2 linked regions of the Caenorhabditis elegans genome follow. The protein of the gene in region 1 purifies or fractionates together with the protein of each later gene. This does not show direct contact. Each region holds a gene or a part of one and is shown on either strand. Other genes may lie near its edges. The genes, in order: C53A5.11 and tag-267.

What was found.
Region 2: the proteins of C53A5.11 (region 1) and tag-267 fractionate together in Caenorhabditis elegans (co-fractionation; one large-scale study listed by BioGRID). This does not show direct contact.

What each region holds. Positions count from the first base shown.
Region 1 is NC_003283.11:14,561,131-14,565,278, forward strand, and holds C53A5.11 (Kelch-like protein 10), read left to right. Parts: upstream 1-1,758; coding exon 1,759-1,770; intron 1,771-1,818; coding exon 1,819-2,170; intron 2,171-2,630; coding exon 2,631-2,842; intron 2,843-2,888; coding exon 2,889-3,093; intron 3,094-3,141; coding exon 3,142-3,509; downstream 3,510-4,148. Other genes in the region: srt-32 (Serpentine Receptor, class T), read left to right, coding at 1-34, 83-163; Muscarinic acetylcholine receptor gar-3, read right to left, coding at 3,938-4,025.
Region 2 is NC_003281.10:639,031-642,334, forward strand, and holds tag-267 (Major sperm protein), read left to right. Parts: upstream 1-1,759; 5' UTR 1,760-1,763; coding exon 1,764-1,829; intron 1,830-1,884; coding exon 1,885-2,044; intron 2,045-2,087; coding exon 2,088-2,198; intron 2,199-2,256; coding exon 2,257-2,510; 3' UTR 2,511-2,589; downstream 2,590-3,304. Other genes in the region: tag-266 (Golgin subfamily A member 7/ERF4 domain-containing protein), read right to left, coding at 127-297, 748-958, 1,023-1,180; W06E11.1 (RNB domain-containing protein), read left to right, coding at 3,042-3,290.

The sequences.
Region 1 (4,148 bases):
CAGAAATGGGGTACTCCTGAAATTGGGGCTAACGGTGAGAATTATTTATAAACTATTCGATGCAATCTTTCAAAATTTTAAGTTCGCATTCGGAAAAACTTCAGTTGTGTCAAAAACTTCAGCAGCTCTTGTTGTCCAAGTGGGAAATCGTAATGTGAATTGAACGACAACCGGTAAAATCTACAATTTATTCGTTTTTAATTCGTTAAAATAGAATAAAACAAATTCAAAGCTTCAGATGTTTTTTTATTTATAGCAAGTACATTTATATTAAACCAGCAATGTCTGCACAAATAGTTCAAATAGGGAGAGAAGTGATTAAAAATTACGATTAGCAATACATATTGTTGCAAAATCAAATACCTTAGTTCCTCAGATAAATGATAAAGTTACTGTAATCACCACTTTCATATTGCAGAATGTAATGTTTATACTTTGATCGTTTTAGAACTCATGAAAATTATATTTCTAACCGTAAAAAAAAGATGAGCAAGAGGAAACAATTTCAGGTTTACAGTGAGGAATATTTGGTGACGTGTACCTGAACCACATTCAGCAAAAAAAAATTCCAAGCAAAGTTTTTATCAAAAATTGAACGACTTTTTGTGAGTTAACTGAGTGGAAATCAATTCTACGTGTGACGTCATGAAAACGCCTTTTCACTCATTCCACTCTTCATTCCACCTTCAGCTTTAAATCGCTTTTTCAGGATATATTTCTGAGATCTAGGAAGACTTGTGCCTCTGTGAAGTCTTCAGTCAAGATGACATAAAAAATAATTTCCTAATAACTTTCAATATGAAATACCATTTCTAAAACTGGATAGGAATTTCTATGTGTCAATTACAGTATCACATTGATAATACGATTCCTCATTTTTCTTTCGATAAAAATACAGGTTCTTTCAGCAAAGAGTATTCCGATTCTATATTATCGGACCATTATTTGATTTACTCATTTTTTTTCAGTTTTTATTCTCTTTTAAGGTAAAAAACATTTTACCTTAAAAGTGGATTCTCGGGATTTCGTCTAACGTTAATAACTTTTGGCAGTCAAAACAACACGCTCTATTTGTAAAGAGTTTTACGGTTTTAAAATTTTTCAGTCAAAGTTTTGGTAAGTTGACTAGTTTTCAAAAAAAATCGATTTTTTTTGGTTAATTTTGAGCATCTCTGCGGGTTCAAAGAATTACAATGTTTATTATTAATACAAACAATTGAAATGGAATCAAAATAAAATAAAGTCACAGAAGATTAGTTTTTTTTGGCGTCTGTCAGTCAAAATTGATATAGTTTTGGATGCAAATTAGAAATTTCCAAATAGTTCTTGAATACTTTACTACGTTATTTTGAAATTATAGCATCATAAAAGCAAATAACAAACTGTTTTTATTGCTCTTCACTAAACGAGAAGATACATAATCAGACAAACTCGATGAATCATGAAATGAATACAAAATTCTATATAAATTTAATGTTAGCAAGATTTGTCATCTCCGCTTTCTCGGCGCTAAAAGATTCCTCAGTAATGCTTTGAAATTTTTTTGAGTTGTTGAGTAAATACACACTTATAAAGCAACGCAGCATAGATCAAAGTAGAATAAAAGAAGAAAGCTTGTACCGTAGGCTTTATCCTTATTCTGTAGTTTTCCTTTTCACTTTTAGTTTTGTTAAACTAATTTTTTCTCAAACGTTTGATTTTCAGATAACTTCTCTTGGCATTCCTCGTCACAGGCAAGGAATTATTGGTGTCGAAAAAATGACGAATCACGTGAGACAATGCTAATTTATTTATATGTTCATAATTTTTCGATTTCAGATATTTTCAGATTCAGAATCAGATCGAGAATCTGGTGCATCAGAGTTTGATTACCACAGTGACTCACAATCAGAAGAAACACAGCATCCAAAAGCAATAGAAATGAGAAATCAGTTCAGAAACACTACCGAAAATCTGATTCAAACTTTGCAAATGTTTTTTGGAATATTAAGTTTTGAATTATACGAAGGAAAAGATAATTTAAAATGCATCACAATGATTCATGATATTACTTCATTGATGGAAGTTGCTGATACAAAATTGAAGAACTATATTAATACTTTGAATTCCAAAGAACAAATTTTTATGGTTGATGATGGTGTGCTGAATATGGATCCAATTTTGGTAGCAGGTAAGATTTCTCTTTGTATGTTAATAACAAAATGTCTGATTCTGACACTGATTGTGAGACATTATGCATACATCGCTAGCTAACTTCTGTATATTTCACAATTTAAAATATACTGGAATTTTCAAATCCATTGCTAAAGGACAAATTTAGATGTTTCGTTGTAATTAGGATATCTTGTACCGCAAGTTTTCAAGGAGGCATCGCTGAAGCTTTGAATGTTATATCATACTACATATGTATATAGTTAATTTGCAATATGCACAAAATGCTTCAGCGGTCAGGTTATATCATACTATGTATATAGTTAATTTGCAATTTGCACAAAATACTTCAGTGGCCACAATGAGCCGATCGTGATAGAAGACCGCACGATCCGCGTATCACGGCCGTTTGAGAATCGCCGTGCGCGCATCCGGATGGAAATAGCGCAAGTTAATTGTCTATCTTCTCTCTTTTTCAGATCGAAAACAAAATTCCCGCGAGCCACTTTTCATTGGATACTTCAAACCTGATACAATGAGCTTCATGCCTATTGGAAGACTTCCTAATCCAAAATCCCATTACGCAGTGGTATCCAGTTCAACGAAAGTTTTTATAATCGGAGGAATGAATAATGGAACATATTTGAATCGTGTAGAGATGTTTGATAAAGAGAAGGGTATTCGTGTAGAGGTTTGTTTATTTAGCTAGTGAATTTAATGAGCAAAAAGCTTTACAGTGTACAAGGCTAATGCATGGACGAACTCGGACATCTGCATGTATTCATGAGGACGCAATTTACGCAGTGGGAGGATACGATGCGACATATATGAGTTCAGTTGAGATTTATGATATTAAAACTGGAGGAGACTGGACCACAGGCCCATCATTAAATAACCGTCGCGCCGATGCATCAGTTGTATCATTTTATGGACAACTTTTTGGTAAGTTCTAGCAAGAATTCAACCTTCTCTTAATTAATCATGGTTCAGTGCTTGGCGGCTTCAATGGAAAAGATTATGAAGAGACTATTGAGAAATTATCAGATTCGAAAGACAAGTTTGAGGTTTGTGGTAATATGGTTGGACGTGCAGGTTTTGGTGCATGTGTATTCCGTGGAAGAATCTATGTGGCTGGTGGATGGAACACCCCTTGCAACACATTAAAAACCTTTCAAAGTTACGATCCATTGACAAATACATGGAAAGATGAGCCATCGATGAATACGGGAAGAAAGTATTTTAAGCTTCATGCTACGAATGAAGCAATCTATGCAATTCGTGGATGTTCTCATGACTGGGATCTTATTAAAGAGACGGAGAGGTTTGATCCACAGACTTTGACATGGGCGACTTCTTAATACAGATGTTCTCAAACAGAATTATGATAAAAAACATTGCGTTTTCATTTTTGGTCTTGCTATAATTGTTCCGAAGCATAAATTGAGTAAATTTCTTGAATATAAGAATGCAGTTTCTCTTCCAGGATTTTTTTTTCAGATTTTAAATAATTGTGACTCATTAAAAAATAGAACATAATAAAAATAAAGAGTTTCTTTACATTAAAAAACCCGTCAACAATGAATGAGCAATGATTCGGTGAGAAGAATGTTGATAAACAAGACCAAATATTTCGAACTAATTTGAAAAAAGTTAAGAAAAAAGTTGAAAAAAATTAGAAAATGATGATGTTGGACCGGTTTTCAAATGCATCTAATATACTGTTTCAAGTGTTTCGAGATCTTGGCAAAGGGAGTTGTGCACATTTTTGTACTGATTGATTGAGTCTCTAGTTGCGTCGGACATATCCCTGATTCATTGTGGGACGTTCCGCTTTAAATTTGCAACGGAGAATTCGCATGTATGTGTGACGGAATCTGGAAAGTTTTGGCATAATGGGTAGTTTTGTGGAAGAAGATTTGGCCGTTGCGTACGAGCCTCATACCGCATTATTTATGATTTTAAACTAAAGTGCTTGAAGTCGTCATTTTCATTTTCAA
Region 2 (3,304 bases), on another chromosome or scaffold:
GACAGAAATACGGAAAAATCAGGTCAAATGGAAGAACAAAAAAAGTACAAATTTGTTTGGAAACAGTGGGCGAAAATGCGAAATTTTTCGAAAAATGTGCAAAATTTCGCAATTTCCGGATGGGGACTAATCGGGAAGATTTAAGGCGGGTTTAGGCAAAGTTTTCAATTCGAGCACATATTCGGTCAGGCGGTCTGAGGGCTCCGTTGGGCGCCGAGCCAGGGACCAGTGGAGGCCCAATTTGTGATAAAGGCTAACATTCTCGTGGTCCAGACATTTTTCCAGCGCTAAGACGGTCTGAAAATTGGGGAATTTAAGAGAAAATTTAACTGAAAACTGGGCTGTGTCGATTTACGGGGATTTTATCTAGATTTTTTCAGTTCTTTTGGTTAAAAAAAAAAATTACAGGCTTTTCACGGCACAATTTTTCTAGATTTTTCGAGTTTCTGGCGGTTTCTTTCCACATTTTTAGTGGTTTTCAGTTGGTTTTCTTACCTTAAATCAAAGTGTTTCAAACATTTCAAACTAAACAGTTCATAACTGCCATTGCCTGCTAAATATTTAGCAGACCAACTGTGGGTCTGCTAAATATTTAGCAGACCAACTATGGGTCTGCTAAATATTAAGCAGACCCATTCAAAGTGTCTCAAACCACTTTTCAGATGAATTTTATTGGAAAATCGGCGAAAAAATCCTCGTAAATCAACACGGAGCCGAATTATCTCGCCTAATTTTTCGAATTCTTACCCTCCGATTCAGACATAACACCGGCCACATTGAGCATCCAATTGAGCAACAGCAAAACGCTAATCCACATAAAAGCCAGCGCGATGACGTTTGTACGTGGCGTTTGAGCACAGAATTTACGCGAGACAGTGTCGCCGAGAGTTCTTCTGGAGCAATATATCCGGTTAGTTCGGGCGGATATTCCGTGTTGAAACGGGAATTCATGCCAAATCTGAAGGAAAATTCGATGATTTTTTTTGATAAATATAGCTTTTTTTCTCTTAAAAACCACCTACACTGTGATATTTCCAACTCCACGAATCACGACGGGTTCCTTCTCCTTTGGAATGTATATTGGCTCGGATTCCTCGTCACTACTCGGCATCACGTCTATTTCTGGCTCTTCGCCGTCACTGGAAACCGACGCCGATGGGGCTGGTGAGCCATGTGACATTTTTTATGAATTTTCTCTGGAAAAATGTAGGATATTTTAGGGGTTTGGTGTTAATTTTGATGTGAGGAAGCGGCTGAAGTTGAAAATGTTTTAGAAAATTCATAAAAAATGAGAAAAATGCCGGAAAATTAACAGTGAGCCGTCTGGAAAATAGAGAAAAAAGAAAATCAATAGAAATTGAGAACTCAAGGAGACCACGCTCTCTCTGGGTAAAAGGTTGTTTGCAGAACGCATGTTTCCGAATGTCACAGTATAAACGCGAGGTTTTTTAGTTGAACACCTAGTAAAAGTGTTATAAAATGTAAGATTTTATTAAATGAAAATAAATTATTTACTTTGTAACAAGAAAATCTAAAATTATATGTCATTTACTCGTTGTTCCTCATTTCTCCAATGTGAAATCTCTCAATTTCGTGAAGTCTCTTGTGGTATGCAACGGCGCCCTATCGCACTTTTTTGTGAAACATATTTTTTCCTTTTTTTGCAGATTTTCCAATTTTTTTTCGCTAAACGCATTTATTTTTAATATATTTGTGTTTTATAATTTTAAAAAATCTGAAATTTTGCAAAATTTTCCAGTAAAATGGGCAAAAAACGAAAGCACCAGGACTCGGACTCAGAGCAATCTGGAAAACGGGTAAAAAAAGTGGTAAGAATTGAATTTCTTGATTACAACTTTTTTGGTTTTAATTAAATGTATTAAGGAAGAAGCCAGAAATGGTGTGGCTGACATGACGATCGATGAGAGCTCGGATTTTCAAGTTTTCCTCATCAAAAAACCGATTGGTGTTAGTTTAGAAGATTTGGAGGCGCTAAAATGGTCAAACGACGAGGAAGTGTTGACGAAAACCAAATTGAAGACAGGTGAGAGTATTTTATTGAGAAAAATCTATGAGAAATTTTTCAGAATCCGGAGTTTTCCGAGCTATTGTTGCGCCAAAGTCGAAAAAGGAGCGGATGGTGCATATTCCGGCGTTCAGGGAGCGGGAAGAAGCTGACTCGAAGAATATTAAAGCTCGTAAGCATAGAATTAAGCTTAAAAGTTGATAAAATTACCCAATAACAATTTTTTTCAGAGAGTTTCGTCACTGGCGCCATCACAATTCTCCCGCAAGAGGTGAAGCCCAAGGTACTAGGAGGATTTATTTATGAAGAAGGCGAAGAACCCGTTGAAGGCTCTTCAGAAGTCCATCCAGGCCTGAAAAAGATCAAAAAGACCGCAATTTTGGACCTGGAAAGCCGTCAACAACGTAACAAAGCCTATGGAACCACTACGGAAGGCGATGGAAAACCGAGAAAACTTGCAAATATTATCGAAAAAATGAATTGAAATTTACTTGTTGACACATTTTTTGTTGAATTTATCTTTTTGTTTGTTGATTTTTCGTTTTTTTAGCTAAAAATGTTTTTTTCTTAATTTTTTTCTGGTTTTTTAAATCGATTTTTGGAAGTTTTAACATCTTCTGTTAATATTTATTTGCCACGTGGCATTTATTGATTGAAATTTAACATTTTTCAGTGGTTTTTTGGGAATTTTTGATTGGAAAGACGAGATTTTTGCTGAGTTTTCCGTGAGAGAACTAGAAAAATCGCAAAAAAAGTCAGAATCTCACAAAAATTGTGTCTAAAAATTCTCCAAAAATATTAGTAAACTAAAATTAAAATTTTCTACAAAAATCCTTATTAATTACACAAAAAATTGCATTTTAGCTTTTATTTTTCCAAATTTTTCGGGAAAATTTGTGTTCTTCTAGGTAAAAATGGGGTTTTTCAACAAAACTAAGGAAAAACAAACGATTTTTAAATATATAATTCGTATAAACCGTCCAAATCGCTCAAATTTTTCAGGATCTCATACTAAATGGAAGTAGACGGTGCTTCTGACGACGAACAAGAGCAAATTATTCGAAAACTTGTCAAAAAACCGGAATTTCTATCAGATGAAGAGGATGATTCAGTTGAAGATCAAGTCGTTTGGGAATGCGACGTAGTTGTGTGCAATTCCACACCAAATACTGAAATGTTCTCTGTTTCGTATCCTTCGAGCAAACGAGACGCCTGGGATGCAAAGCGATTTCCAATTGCCAGATATAAGAAGAATGTTCGATTGGTACGGAAAAACAC